Linked DNA regions of Callithrix jacchus. The main gene of each other region encodes a partner of the protein of the gene in region 3 in a complex. Links are inferred from orthologs where the notes say so. Each region holds a gene or a part of one and is shown on either strand. Other genes may lie near its edges.

Region 1 (3,645 bases), on a different chromosome or scaffold from region 3:
GTAAAAGGATCACAGTGGAAAGAAGAATGCCTCATACTCTTAATGGGAGGAGGAAAGAGTGTGTAAAGTATCACTGAGACTTCTGCAGCATCCACTCTCAATTGTTCTTAGTATCCAGGAATCTTCAGGGTCATCATCCTCTGTGTCTTGTTGGCCCAAATCTGTTGGGGCAAATACAGACCTATTTCCATTTAGGGAATAGACATTTAATTAAAATGGGCCTCACAAACTGATATAATTGGTTTTCTTGCAGTTGGAGTATTAAGTGATTGACGGACAGAGAGAATGAAAGAAGCTTTTCACTTTATGCCTTCTTGTTACTCTTGAAATTTTAAGAAATATAAATATATGACCTATTCAAAAAATAAACGACTTTTTTTTTGCTTTTTTTGTTTGTTTTTAAAGTAGTCCTCTTAGTCTAGTCCTGAATGTCTATTGCTGTTCATATTTCAACAACCATTCATTCAGAGCTTGGGAGGTGTAAGAATTAACTTATCATCATTACTTACCTAATAGGCGTCTCCTGGAAGCATTTCTATTTCTGTCATTGCTGCAACCCACATCCAATCATCCAGGGTAAAAAAATGACATCTCTAATTCCCTTTCATTTTTTTTTTAATCCCCTATAGTCAATCACCACAGCACAAGCATTCTATTCACCTAGTGTTTGTCTTTCCATTTTCACTGCTACCTTTGTAGTTTTATGTTTAGGTTTTAGGTTTACATCTTAACTGGTATTAAAATCTCCTAACACCTGAATTTCAAACTCTCACACTTTCTCCTGATCCTACATCTTGTTGCCAAGTTAATCATCTTAAAATTTTATTCTACTATCATTCCCTGACTCAAAAGCTTTCAGTCATACCAGGCACATTGGCACACCTCTGTAGTCGCGGCTACTCAGGAGGTAAAGTAGGGAGGGCTAGTCTGGGCAACATAGCAAGACCTGGTGTGTCACAAAAATAAATATGTAAGTTTCTAGTGTGTGTGTTGTATGTTAAAAAAAAAAACAAAAACAAAATACACCATCAGTCACAATTTAATGACTGCTAAATTAAGTTTTACCCTCCTAACCTGGCTTTAAGACTAAGATATGGCCCTAACCTGTCTTATTCACCTTCCTCCTTTCATATTACATATCCTGATCTGCATTAAACAATTCACAATTTCCCAAACATAGCCCTCCCTTTAACATCCTTGAATTCATTTGATACCTACCTATTGGACATCTCCTATATTACTATGCCCAGGACACTGTTCCAAGTGGTAGGCATATATAGGTTAAAAAGAAAGGCACATCCTCTCCTCAAGGGAGGCCTCATTTGTCTTAGGTACCTTCTCTCCAATGTTTAAATTCTGTCCAGTCTTAAGGTACGGCTTTCTTAAGGTATAGCTGGGATCAAAATCCTACTTTTCTGTAAATGACTCCCCTAACCTCAAATGTACTCTCTTTTTTCTGAACTCCTCATAGTTTCTTTTTCTCTTTTAGTGGCACGTTTTACATTCTGACTTATATTTTTATTCTTCTTAAAAGATTTCTGAGCAACTTGAAGGCAAAGACTGTATCTTTTTAATCTATATATTCTCCATAATGCTGATCATAGTTCTTTATTCATAATAAAAGTTAAATGTGGCCAGGCAAGGTGGCTCACACTTGTAATCCCATCACTTTGGGAGGCTGAAACTAGAGAATCACTTGAGCCCAGGAGTTTGAGACCAGCCTGGGCAACATCATAGTGAGAACTCGTCTCTACAAAAAAAAAACTAGGCGGTAGCATGCCTGTAGGGCTAGCTACTGGGAACGCTAAGGTGGGCGGATTGTTTGAATCCAGGAGTTCCAGTCTATAATAAGCTATGATCACACCACTGGACTCTAGCCTAAGTGACATAGAAAAATAGGGAAAAAAAAGTTAAGTATGTATTTGTTTTACATATGAATAAGTAAATGAACCTGGGAGCCAGAGTTACACCAGCAATTTATTAATAAGCATTTACCTGTTCTCAGTGTTCTTTTCCTGAGTTCTGGCATATAATTTATAAATATTATTGACTTTTATGCAGCTATTAAATCTATAACATTTAAATATTTTAATATTCAGGATATTTGGAAGATGTTTACATGGTATGCAACCATAAAATTTAATATTCTAATAAAATATGTTCATTTGAATACAACATAATCCTGTAATTTGTTCAAGCACCAATTATTCTAATACAGACTTTATAAAGTTAATACTGTGTTCTTTCCCTTTCTTAGGAAAAGTACAATAATAATAACCTGTGTATAGCACTTTTACCTATCAGTGGCTTGTAGAAGTTATTTTGGTCTCTAAACAGACCTGTGGAATATATAGGGTAGGTATTATTTCTATTTTAAATATGATGAAACTAAGGTGCAGAAAAGTTGCATAATTTACATGAGGTTACATAGCTAATTAATGAAAAAATCCAGGCTTAATCTTACAGGCATGTTAATTGTATATTTTGTATTACTTGAAGTAATTATGCATTTTCTTTTCTTAGTGAAAGAAAGGATGTCTTAAGAGAAGCCGAAATTTTACACAAAGCTAGATTTAGTTATATTCTTCCAATTTTGGGAATTTGCAATGAGCCTGAATTTTTGGGAATAGTTACTGAATACATGCCAAATGGATCATTAAATGAACTCCTACATAGAGTAAGTATTACACATTTTCATGCCATTTCTATTATTCAAACTATATTTTACTTTGATTTTAATTTGATTAGATTATTCAGGAATATATAGATGAATCGAAGAAAAATGAAAAACTATTACAGGGATAAAAGTTTACCTTTTGTGACATTTTTGTGTTGATTAAAACACTGTCGATTCAGGCCCTGTACTCTAGATTATTTTGCCTGGGTTACCATTCCTGACATTTACAACAAATTCTAGTATTTATATGCAGATTACATGGATAGAAATGGAAAAGATAAACTCTGTACACTGTAAAATCCACTGTTAAGTGATATTTTATTTTATATTAATAGCAATTTCAAATTCAAACTTACTGTTACTAATGCCAGTTCATAAAGTTCTGAATTAGCAGGCCAAATGTTAATAAATTATCTCTGAATGCCAGATACATTAGCTTTTCTAATAATAGACAGTGGTATGAGCCATTTACCTTTTTTCCCAAGATACCATTCACTCTTTCTTTGACTGAATTTCATGAGTAAACAAATCTAGGAATCCTCATTTTCAAAATACATGTATTCAATTAAGGGTGTTTGCTTGAGCTTACATTATTAATATTATGAGTCTGTAGTTTCAATAAATCTTTTTAAACCACTTGGTCTATTTTGTGAGAGTTGGCTTAATTAAAATTGTAAAAATCTACAAAATTCAATCAGTGGATACTCCTAAATTATAGTGTAACACAGTGTGCTCTAAGTGACCAAGGGAAAGTGGTGCCATTGTCAGTCAGTCATAGAGTACCTTCTCTTTGTTTCAGAATACATCACATTCTACTCATGACTTGTGACCATTTGAAACAAGGATGGAATAAGTAACTGGTGTCAGTCTGTAAGATTTGTGTAACTGCCACAGCAACCAATATACAAATATTAATATATCACAATTTCTTTTTTATTTTTGTTGAGAAATGAGTATAAGTAGAAATC
Region 2 (3,745 bases), on a different chromosome or scaffold from region 3:
ATTCAGCAGGAAGTAGCCAGAAAGAAGCGGCATCCTGTATCTTCAAAAGGGTTGGAATGTAAGGCGGTTTGCCTCGAAGGGAAGCCAGACACACCCACCTCTGCACCTAGCTGTGCCACATGGCTCCCCTGGAAGGCTCCAGGCCGGTGCAACTCTGGCCAGCTCTCGAACCAGAAAACCCACCCAACAACCCGCCAACCAATGGCGGCCTGCCAACCAATGGTGGCCCACCCCGTCCCAATCCCGCTCTCCTGGAGCCAATCAGAGCACCCAGCCGTTGCTCCTTCCTCATAGCCATAAAAACCCCACGCCCCAGGAAGCCAGCGCAACTTCTCTGGCCCCCTTTCCCCAGACCAGAGAACCTCGCCCAGGAGCTGAATAAATTGGCATTTAATTTTCTTATACTGGCCTCAGTTTCCTCTTTCTAAACTCGGCAATAACCCTTACAGGTGAGACTGATCTCCGAAGCAGGTCCCCCACACACTCTATCAAAGTACCTGAGGCAGAATCCCCAATGGTGCACCCCCAGGGGGCTCGGTGGGTGCTGGTCTGGCTCCTGGGGAAGGCAGTCAACCCTGCCTCAGCAGGTCCAGCAGATAGGCCAAGTGGGATCTCAGGGTCCCGTGGATGGACAAGGGTTCAGCAATAGCAGCAGAAGGAACCCTAGGGCCATCCAGGTTCTCCAAAAGCTGGCGGCACCCCTGGTCTAGGCCAGGCTGCCATTGGGATCAGTCAGGCCCAGCAAGTCCTCTGCCAGGCTGGTGAGCTCATTCTCCTCAAGTGCCTCCACCAGGCGCTGCAGCGTGGCGCGGCGGCCCTCGGCCTGCACGAAGCGCCGCAGCAGCTGGAAGGCCTGCTCATACAACCCCTCGCGCTCGTACTCATAGGCCAGCGAGTCCAGCGCCGGGTCCCGCAGCGCTCTGCAGCTCCGCTGCAGCGAGCGCCCCACCTTGCGCCACTTTAGGCCCACGGAGCGTGCGAACGTCTGTTGGTCCTGCAGGCTCAGCGGCCGGTTCACTGCAGAAGGAGTGAGGAAGCGGGGTGAGGGGGGCGCCCCAGCGCCTATCCCACCCATCCCCACCCGGCGACGACACTGCTCCTCCCCAGACTCCAATCTCCTGGTGACCCTGCCTCTCCACCTGCCCCTCACCTACAGGCTGACCCTGGAACAGAAAAGTCTGGGCAGGCGTTGGAGGCGGCCGCGGCTTCACCTCCGACAGAGAGGGCACGGGGAGCTGAGAGGGGTCCAAAGAGACCTCCCTGTCGCCACCCTGGGCCCCCAAGCCGCACTTCAGGTTCCTCAGTGCATCCTCCAGCTCAGCCAGTTCTTCGTCCCGGAGCCGGTCGGGCTAAGGGAAGGGAACTTGCCGTCACCAGGGGCTGGGCCTCGGATTCCTGCCCTACCCCATCCTGACCCCAGCCCGGCCGCACCTGCTGGGCTAGGATGCAACTCAAACAGTACTCCTCGTCCGCCAGCAAAGCGTCCAGCCGTTCGGCGCCGGCGCGCAGCTCCAGTTGCAGCGATAGCGAGTGTTGGGAGACGGCGGCCGCCAGGCTCCTCTGCAGCGCGGCGCATAGCGCCCCCTCGCGGTAGGCGCGGAGGAAGCGGCTGCAGGGCTGGCGCCCACAGAATCGCAACTGCACGATCAGCTGCGGGTCGCTGCGATGGATCTTCAGCATCTGCAGCACGTCCGGGCTCCCACCGCTCTCTGCGGAGGCGGGCGGTCAGGCGCCGGGAGGTCAGGCGCCAGACGGTCCCCAAGCTCGGTCATTCTCCCGTGGTCAAGCCCCGTCCCATCCCCTGATCTAGGGTACAGTTACCCTGGAGTACCCAGATGGAAAGCAAAAATTGGGATGCAAACAGCAACAACCCAGAAAGAAGGCCAGGACCTATCACAGGGAGCACCCCAAGACAGAGTGGGTGCCACCTAGCCCCAGCTCCCATGTCCCAAATGAGAGCTGGCAAAAGAGAGTGACTTTGTAGCACAGAAAAGGAAACGTGTTCCCTAGGCTACCAAGCCTTCTGGGTAGGAGGCCAGCAGGGCAGAGGAGGGCGGGAGGTCTCAGGTCTTCAGCCTCCACCAAGCTCGGCTCCCACTGCTCGGGAAGAAGAGAGGGGGGCTCTCGTCGCTCTGAGGCCACGAACTGATCCCCCAACCCGCTTCAGCCTCCTGTGGCCTCTGCCCTGAGATGGGAAAGCGGGGCCTGGAAGGGTAGGTACTGGGGAGGGGTCTTGAGAAAGGAGTGCTGCAGTAAGAGAGGAAAAGAGGAGAGAGGCATCCACAATTAGTAGAAAGGAGTGAGCTGGCTGGTGGAGAGGGCAGGGATGGAGCAAAGGACGTTAGTGCACAAATAGGTAAATCATACACTGACTCGAGGACACATATATACCCTCAAGGTCATGCCACAAAAAGAGAGGACAGAGTCTACACATCCAGGGGTCCTCCGTCTTCCTCCTCCCACCCCAAATCTTTTCCCTAAAGGTGGTTAAGCCCAAGCCCACCTAGTAGAGGACCTGCAGCCTCAGCCCCACCCACAAAATGCCCCAGGCCACTTTTTCCTCTCCACATGCCAGCACACCCACGCACCTGCCAAGGCAGTCTGCAAAGCCCTGTACACTGCCATCTTCTGCTGGGGGTGCACGTAGGCATCCGACAGGACCACCTTGTCCAGCGAGGACTCCACAAACAGGTATGCGCTGCCCACACACTCTTCGTGCCCATTTTGCCCAGCTGCCATCTCACCTCCTGGAGATGCAGACAGTTGGGTATTCAGTTCATCTCCCTCCCTCTGCCCTGGAGACAACTGTCCAGCACCAGGTGGTTCAGCTGTCCCCACCACAGTAGCCTCAAGTCCCACATCGTTCAGGTGTACCCCAACACTAGTTGGCATACTTGGGACAGGAGTTCACCATCTCACAGGCAAGCCCCTTGAGTTCCTGGCTCTGTACAGAGTCCCACCCCAGACTTGCAGAAAGGACTGTCCCCCCACTGCGTTCTCAGGAAAAGAGACCAGCGTCACAGTGGAGGGGGAGCAGAGGTAGATCCTGCAACGGGGCTTCTCTGCCTCCTCCTCAGGCCTCTCTTATCAAAGTGGACAGGAGACACCTTCATTCTGGATGGTGCCCATGCCCCAAAGCCCACCAGGCCCATATCCTGGCCTTGCCTTCTGAATAGACTTGAGTCTAGTATCTCTGGAGGACCTCAGCCTAAGATTAAACCTCCTGTCTTCACTTCAAAGGACACCTGTAGTTTGCATCTACCCAGATTCCCTCCCCAAAGCCTGACTTACCTTTAGGGACTTCCTTTCTCCTTCTTCTCAATTCATGTGCCTGTGTCCCACTCCCTAGCTCCAGGTCAGGCTTGTGCACCATACCTGGCCAATCTGCATATTTCATTCACATTTCTGCAGTGATTAGTTTAGGGTGGAGTATAGGACTAAAGTTGGACCAATGAGAATCAACCCTGCAACTCTGGATGAGCCAATAGGAAAGAGGCATTAATTTCCCTTCCCTTGGGGCTAAACTGGAAGGAAAGGGTAGCCCTTCTTTTCCACTGCTTGGGAAGAGCCTGGCTGAGAGTGAAGCTGACACAGAAAAAAACAATCAAGAGATGGAGAAGTGCACTCCTAACCATACTAGACTCCTGGATCCAGCTGTCCCTGAAGCCATTGCATTTAGACTTTTTAGTTATGTGAGCTAAATAATTCCTTTTAGTTATAAAGTGCTTGGAATTCGGCTCCAGTC
Region 3 (3,717 bases):
ATGGAGGAAAGAGAACATCCCAGGCCAAGCATCCCGGCTTTCAACAAAGGTGCCACCACCGAGTCACTCACTGAGGGAGCCTGGTCTCGGGCCTGAAAGTCTGGAATGTTCTGTTTCCTCAACTATGAGGTGGCAATAACTAACTTCACCTTGCTAGGACTTTTTAAGTATTAAATAACTCAAGAGAAAGTACCAGGGCAGTGCGAGCACGTAGTAGGGACTCAGCTCATTCGATTATTCCCACCTCCCCACCCGGGCCCCCAGGGAGGAAGCGAGGCGCTTGAGCCAGACTGGGCTGGTACAGCGGGGTGGGGGCCCATCACCCCGGAGCTACCTCCCCATCCACCATCCACCCCAGCCCGGCAGCTCACGCACGCCCATTTGCTGCCCTCGCTCCATCCGTATTGGGCGCATTAGCCAGCCCGGCGGCTCTGGTTACAGACGTCTGAATGACAAAGTGCCTCCATTACCGGCGCGGCCCGCCAGCCGACCCGCCGGGACGCGCTCTGGTTTCAGCGCTCTCTCGCCGCGGCCCAGGAAGAAACTCGGAACGCGCACAGCTCGCCCAGACGCAGCAGCCGCGCGCAGAGGCGGAGGCGGGAGCCGCAGGGGCTGCAGACGGCAGGTTCCGGTCCGGGTCCACCTTCACCAGCGCCCAGGCTCTCCGCGCCCAGCTCCCCTCCTTCCTTGAGTCTCGGCGCGGGGACCCTCGCTCCTGCTCAGACCGGGAGCCCACGTCGTCGTCCCTCCTCCCCGCCCCCCTGGTCCACGATGTCCCACCCGCAACGGAGCGGTGTCTCTAACCGGCAGCGTTAGTCAGCAGACGTGCCCGCGGTCACTCCCAAATCCCCGGACACGGCCACAGGTCCCGACAGCTCCAAAGAACCGGGGCTGAGCTTTTAGGGTGGGGCCCGCGCCCGGACAGGGTCTCTGCCCACCCTACCCGCAGGCTCCACTGCCACCTGACTCTGGGGAAGGTGTCAAGCCCGCCCCTGCTGGGAAACGCAGCCTTGACCCCGACCTGGGACAGCGGCTGCCCCCTGAAGAGGTGGGGGAGTGCGGAGCTGGGAACCAGGTTGGGGGAGTCTAGCCACAACTCTGGCCCAACTTGCTGTGAGATCTTGGCCAAGTCGTTTAAACTCTCAGAGCCTCAGTCTCCCTATCTGTAAAACCGGGATTTGGAGCGCAGCGCTCAAATGAAAGATGCTGGCAAGGAGAGTGAAGACACCTCCTCCATGGCCAGACCTTCCCGGGCATTCGGTTCATGGCCACACAGCAGGCCACACTTGACAATCTCGTCGGACTGCCGGGAGGACTGAGTCGCCGACCTTGGCCGAGTTGGTGACTCAGGACACGGCGCGGCAGAATCCGAGACGTCCGGGCGCCCCGGTCTCGTTAGGTACCCAGTGGCTTGCACCGAGAGCCAGGCGAGGCGCAGACACGATCCTGACCCTTCGAGGCGCGGGAGCCCACGGAGCGCGGTGGGCGCGGCGCTCGGGTCGCGCATCTCGGTAGGGGGCGGAGCGCAGCCCCAGACTCGCAGGCAGCAGCAGACGGCACTTGCCTCGCCCCGCAGCGCCCCCTGCCGGCTGCCTCCCGCCTGCGCGGGACGGGTCCCCGCCTAGTGCGCCCGGGCGCTCTGCACCCTGAGACGTAGGCGCCGCCAGCCGGGGTCCGGACACACCCGCTCCATTCCTCGCGATCCGCCGCGCTGCTTCAAGCAATGAGAACACGCGCGTCGGAGGAGCCCGCCGGCCATGGGGGAACTTGGGGAGCGGGTTCGACCTGGCGAAGTGGGTGCTCCCCTCCCAGCCTTAGATCGCAGCCACAATTCCGGGACTGGGAGAGGCCATGAGCAGGAGCGCGGGGACAGGCGCGGGAAATGTCCAAGACTCCGCTCTCACTTCTCGTCTCACTGTCCCTCAGTGGGCCCCGATCACTTTAGGGTGCGCGCCCCGCTCCGTCCGCTTTCCTTTTGCTTCCATCTCTCTGCAGCCCTGGCTGTTGCCCCTCTTCTGCCCTCCCTAATCCACTTCTGGTCCCCAACCTCTCCCTCCGACGCCCCTCCCCCCCATTGTCTGGCCGGTCCCCATTGTCCTTGCCGGGTCCCCTCTGCCTCCAATCCCTCCGACCTCCTCCATTGTTCCATCCCCTGGTCCCGGGCTACCCCCCACCAGCCCAGCTCGCCCCTCACATCTCTAGTCCGCTTCCCGTTCCCCGTCCTTTTCTCGCCTGGGTTCCGTCCCGCGACTCTCCAGAGACAGAGATGCTGAGGGGAGAGTCCCTCCGGGATCCCGGCATTGGAGTGTCCTCTTCCGAAGAACCCGGGCATCAGAGAGCCCCATGCCACCTCTCGAAAGACCCCTCCCAGCTCCCTCACCGCCCCCTACGGTACCTGAGGACCGGCATCCGTGCCCCGGTCGTGTCCGCATCTCCACCCTAGACTCAGGGTCGCCTCTGCGCTCCGAGAACCCTAGACCCTCCTTCGTGGTCCCAGCATCAGAGCGCCTCTCCCACCACCCACCCTCAGCATCTGGGACCCCAACGCTCTGTTCTGTTTCCTGGGTGGCGGCGCCCGGCTCTCCTCGGAGTTCTCATCCCGGGAAAGGGAGCGGGCCCCCTCGGGCTAACACTCACCCCCAGAAGCAGCAACAGCAGCAGGCGCGGCCCGTCCATGGCGCGGCCGGTGGCACCTGCCCCCATTGCTCGCCTCCCGCGGCAGCGCAAGGCTTCCAGCTCGGTCCGCTCTGCGGACGGATGGGGCTGCGCTGCGCCGTGCTCCAGCGCACCCCGCGCCCGCCGGAGCTGGCCGCGTCTTGGCTCACTCTGGCCGCGGGCGGGAGGGGCTGGGTGAAGCCAGTGCGGCGGCCCCGCCTCCGCCCCGCCCATCCCGCCCACCCCCGGAACCGCGCCCGCCCGCCCCGCCGCCTTAGGGTGGGGAGCGGAGGCAAAGGGAGGGCGTGCGGTTCCCCGCACCCCGCTGCCACTTCTCCTCGCCTTGTTCCTTAGAACCTCTCACCCATCCCGCCCTGGTACCCAGTTCCCGGCCCGCGCTACTGCGCGTCGGTCCCGGATGCTGTGGGGCCCAGGGCCCAGGGCGTCCCCACTGCGGTTCCCGTTCTCTCCGGCTGCGGCCCGCCGCAGGGTTCATTCTCTTACCCATCTTCCCCCGCCTCTGGCTTCACCTTCTCCCTGGAGCCTCGCTCCCTACCTGGCCACTATCAGTAAGAATGCCCGCTTGCCCTCCCTGCCCTTCATCTCTGTCCATCACCTCATCTCCACCCCTGTGCCCACCTTTCTACTTTCCAGTGAAGAAAGTCCCTGGGCAGAGTCCTAGGGGGAGGGGAAGGGCGCAAGTGGCCTGACTTCGGCCATGGACATTCAAGGTGGAGTCCATTTCCACATTTGATTCTCAAATGAGGGGTTCGAAGGGGTCACAGGTGTGCACACAGCGCACAGGAATACACATTCTCAGGCTCACCTGTAGGTGTGCTTGTGCACTTACGTGTGCCCACACTGTCCTCCATGCACTTGTGCCGACCTGTCTTACACATGCATCTCTGCAGGCATGCACACGCACATATGTTATTCAGACATGCAAAGTGCTTACCTACACATTCACACATGCATGTATGTAGGTAGTCATGTCTGCAAAAGCCCTCACATGTATACAGTCACACAAGCGCACACACATTCATGAGCGCACACACACACTGA

The links.
Region 1: the proteins of NGFR (region 3) and RIPK2 are in contact, whole or in part, in an NMR structure (PDB 2N83), measured with the Homo sapiens proteins. The link is inferred for Callithrix jacchus from reciprocal best matches to the Homo sapiens genes NGFR and RIPK2. Residues at the interface, in NP_002498.1 of Homo sapiens: Gly334, Leu335, Ser338, Leu339, Pro340, Lys343, Val347, Ser354, Ala355, Asp357, Arg360, His361, Gly364, Glu365, Tyr368, Pro370, Ile373, Asp374, Leu398, Asp399, Leu401, Leu402, Arg406, Arg407, Ile408, Gln409, Arg410, Ala411, Asp412, Val414; in NP_003812.1 of Homo sapiens: Gln437, Ser465, Arg466, Asp467, Leu468, Met470, Glu472, Asp495, Ile496, Gln497, Gly498, Glu499, Glu500, Lys503, Ile523, Leu524, Val526, Ser527, Arg528, Ser529, Pro530, Ser531, Leu532, Asn533, Leu534, Gln536.
Region 2: the proteins of NGFR (region 3) and TRADD are in contact, whole or in part, in an NMR structure (PDB 7CSQ), measured with the Homo sapiens proteins. The link is inferred for Callithrix jacchus from reciprocal best matches to the Homo sapiens genes NGFR and TRADD. Residues at the interface, in NP_002498.1 of Homo sapiens: Glu345, Glu346, Glu348, Lys349, Leu350, Asn352, Gly353, Ser354, Ala355, Glu379, Ala380, Cys381, Arg384, Glu420; in NP_001310481.1 of Homo sapiens: Thr201, Phe202, Asn211, Ala275, Glu276, Arg278, Arg279, Thr281, Gln283, Arg284, Glu287.

Annotation. Positions count from the first base shown.
Region 1 is NC_133517.1:37,387,867-37,391,511, reverse strand, and holds part of RIPK2 (receptor-interacting serine/threonine-protein kinase 2), read left to right. Parts: intron 1-2,523; coding exon 2,524-2,677; intron 2,678-3,645.
Region 2 is NC_133521.1:24,663,137-24,666,881, forward strand, and holds the end of TRADD (tumor necrosis factor receptor type 1-associated DEATH domain protein), read right to left. Parts: intron 3,406-3,745; 5' UTR 3,398-3,405; coding exon 3,292-3,397; intron 2,748-3,291; coding exon 2,589-2,747; intron 1,710-2,588; coding exon 1,432-1,709; intron 1,350-1,431; coding exon 1,151-1,349; intron 1,018-1,150; coding exon 707-1,017; 3' UTR 376-706; downstream 1-375. UniProt on the Homo sapiens protein: Adapter molecule for TNFRSF1A/TNFR1 that specifically associates with the cytoplasmic domain of activated TNFRSF1A/TNFR1 mediating its interaction with FADD.
Region 3 is NC_133506.1:116,811,918-116,815,634, forward strand, and holds the start of NGFR (tumor necrosis factor receptor superfamily member 16), read right to left. Parts: upstream 2,829-3,717; 5' UTR 2,704-2,828; coding exon 2,638-2,703; intron 1-2,637. UniProt on the Homo sapiens protein: Low affinity receptor which can bind to NGF, BDNF, NTF3, and NTF4. Forms a heterodimeric receptor with SORCS2 that binds the precursor forms of NGF, BDNF and NTF3 with high affinity, and has much lower affinity for mature NGF and BDNF.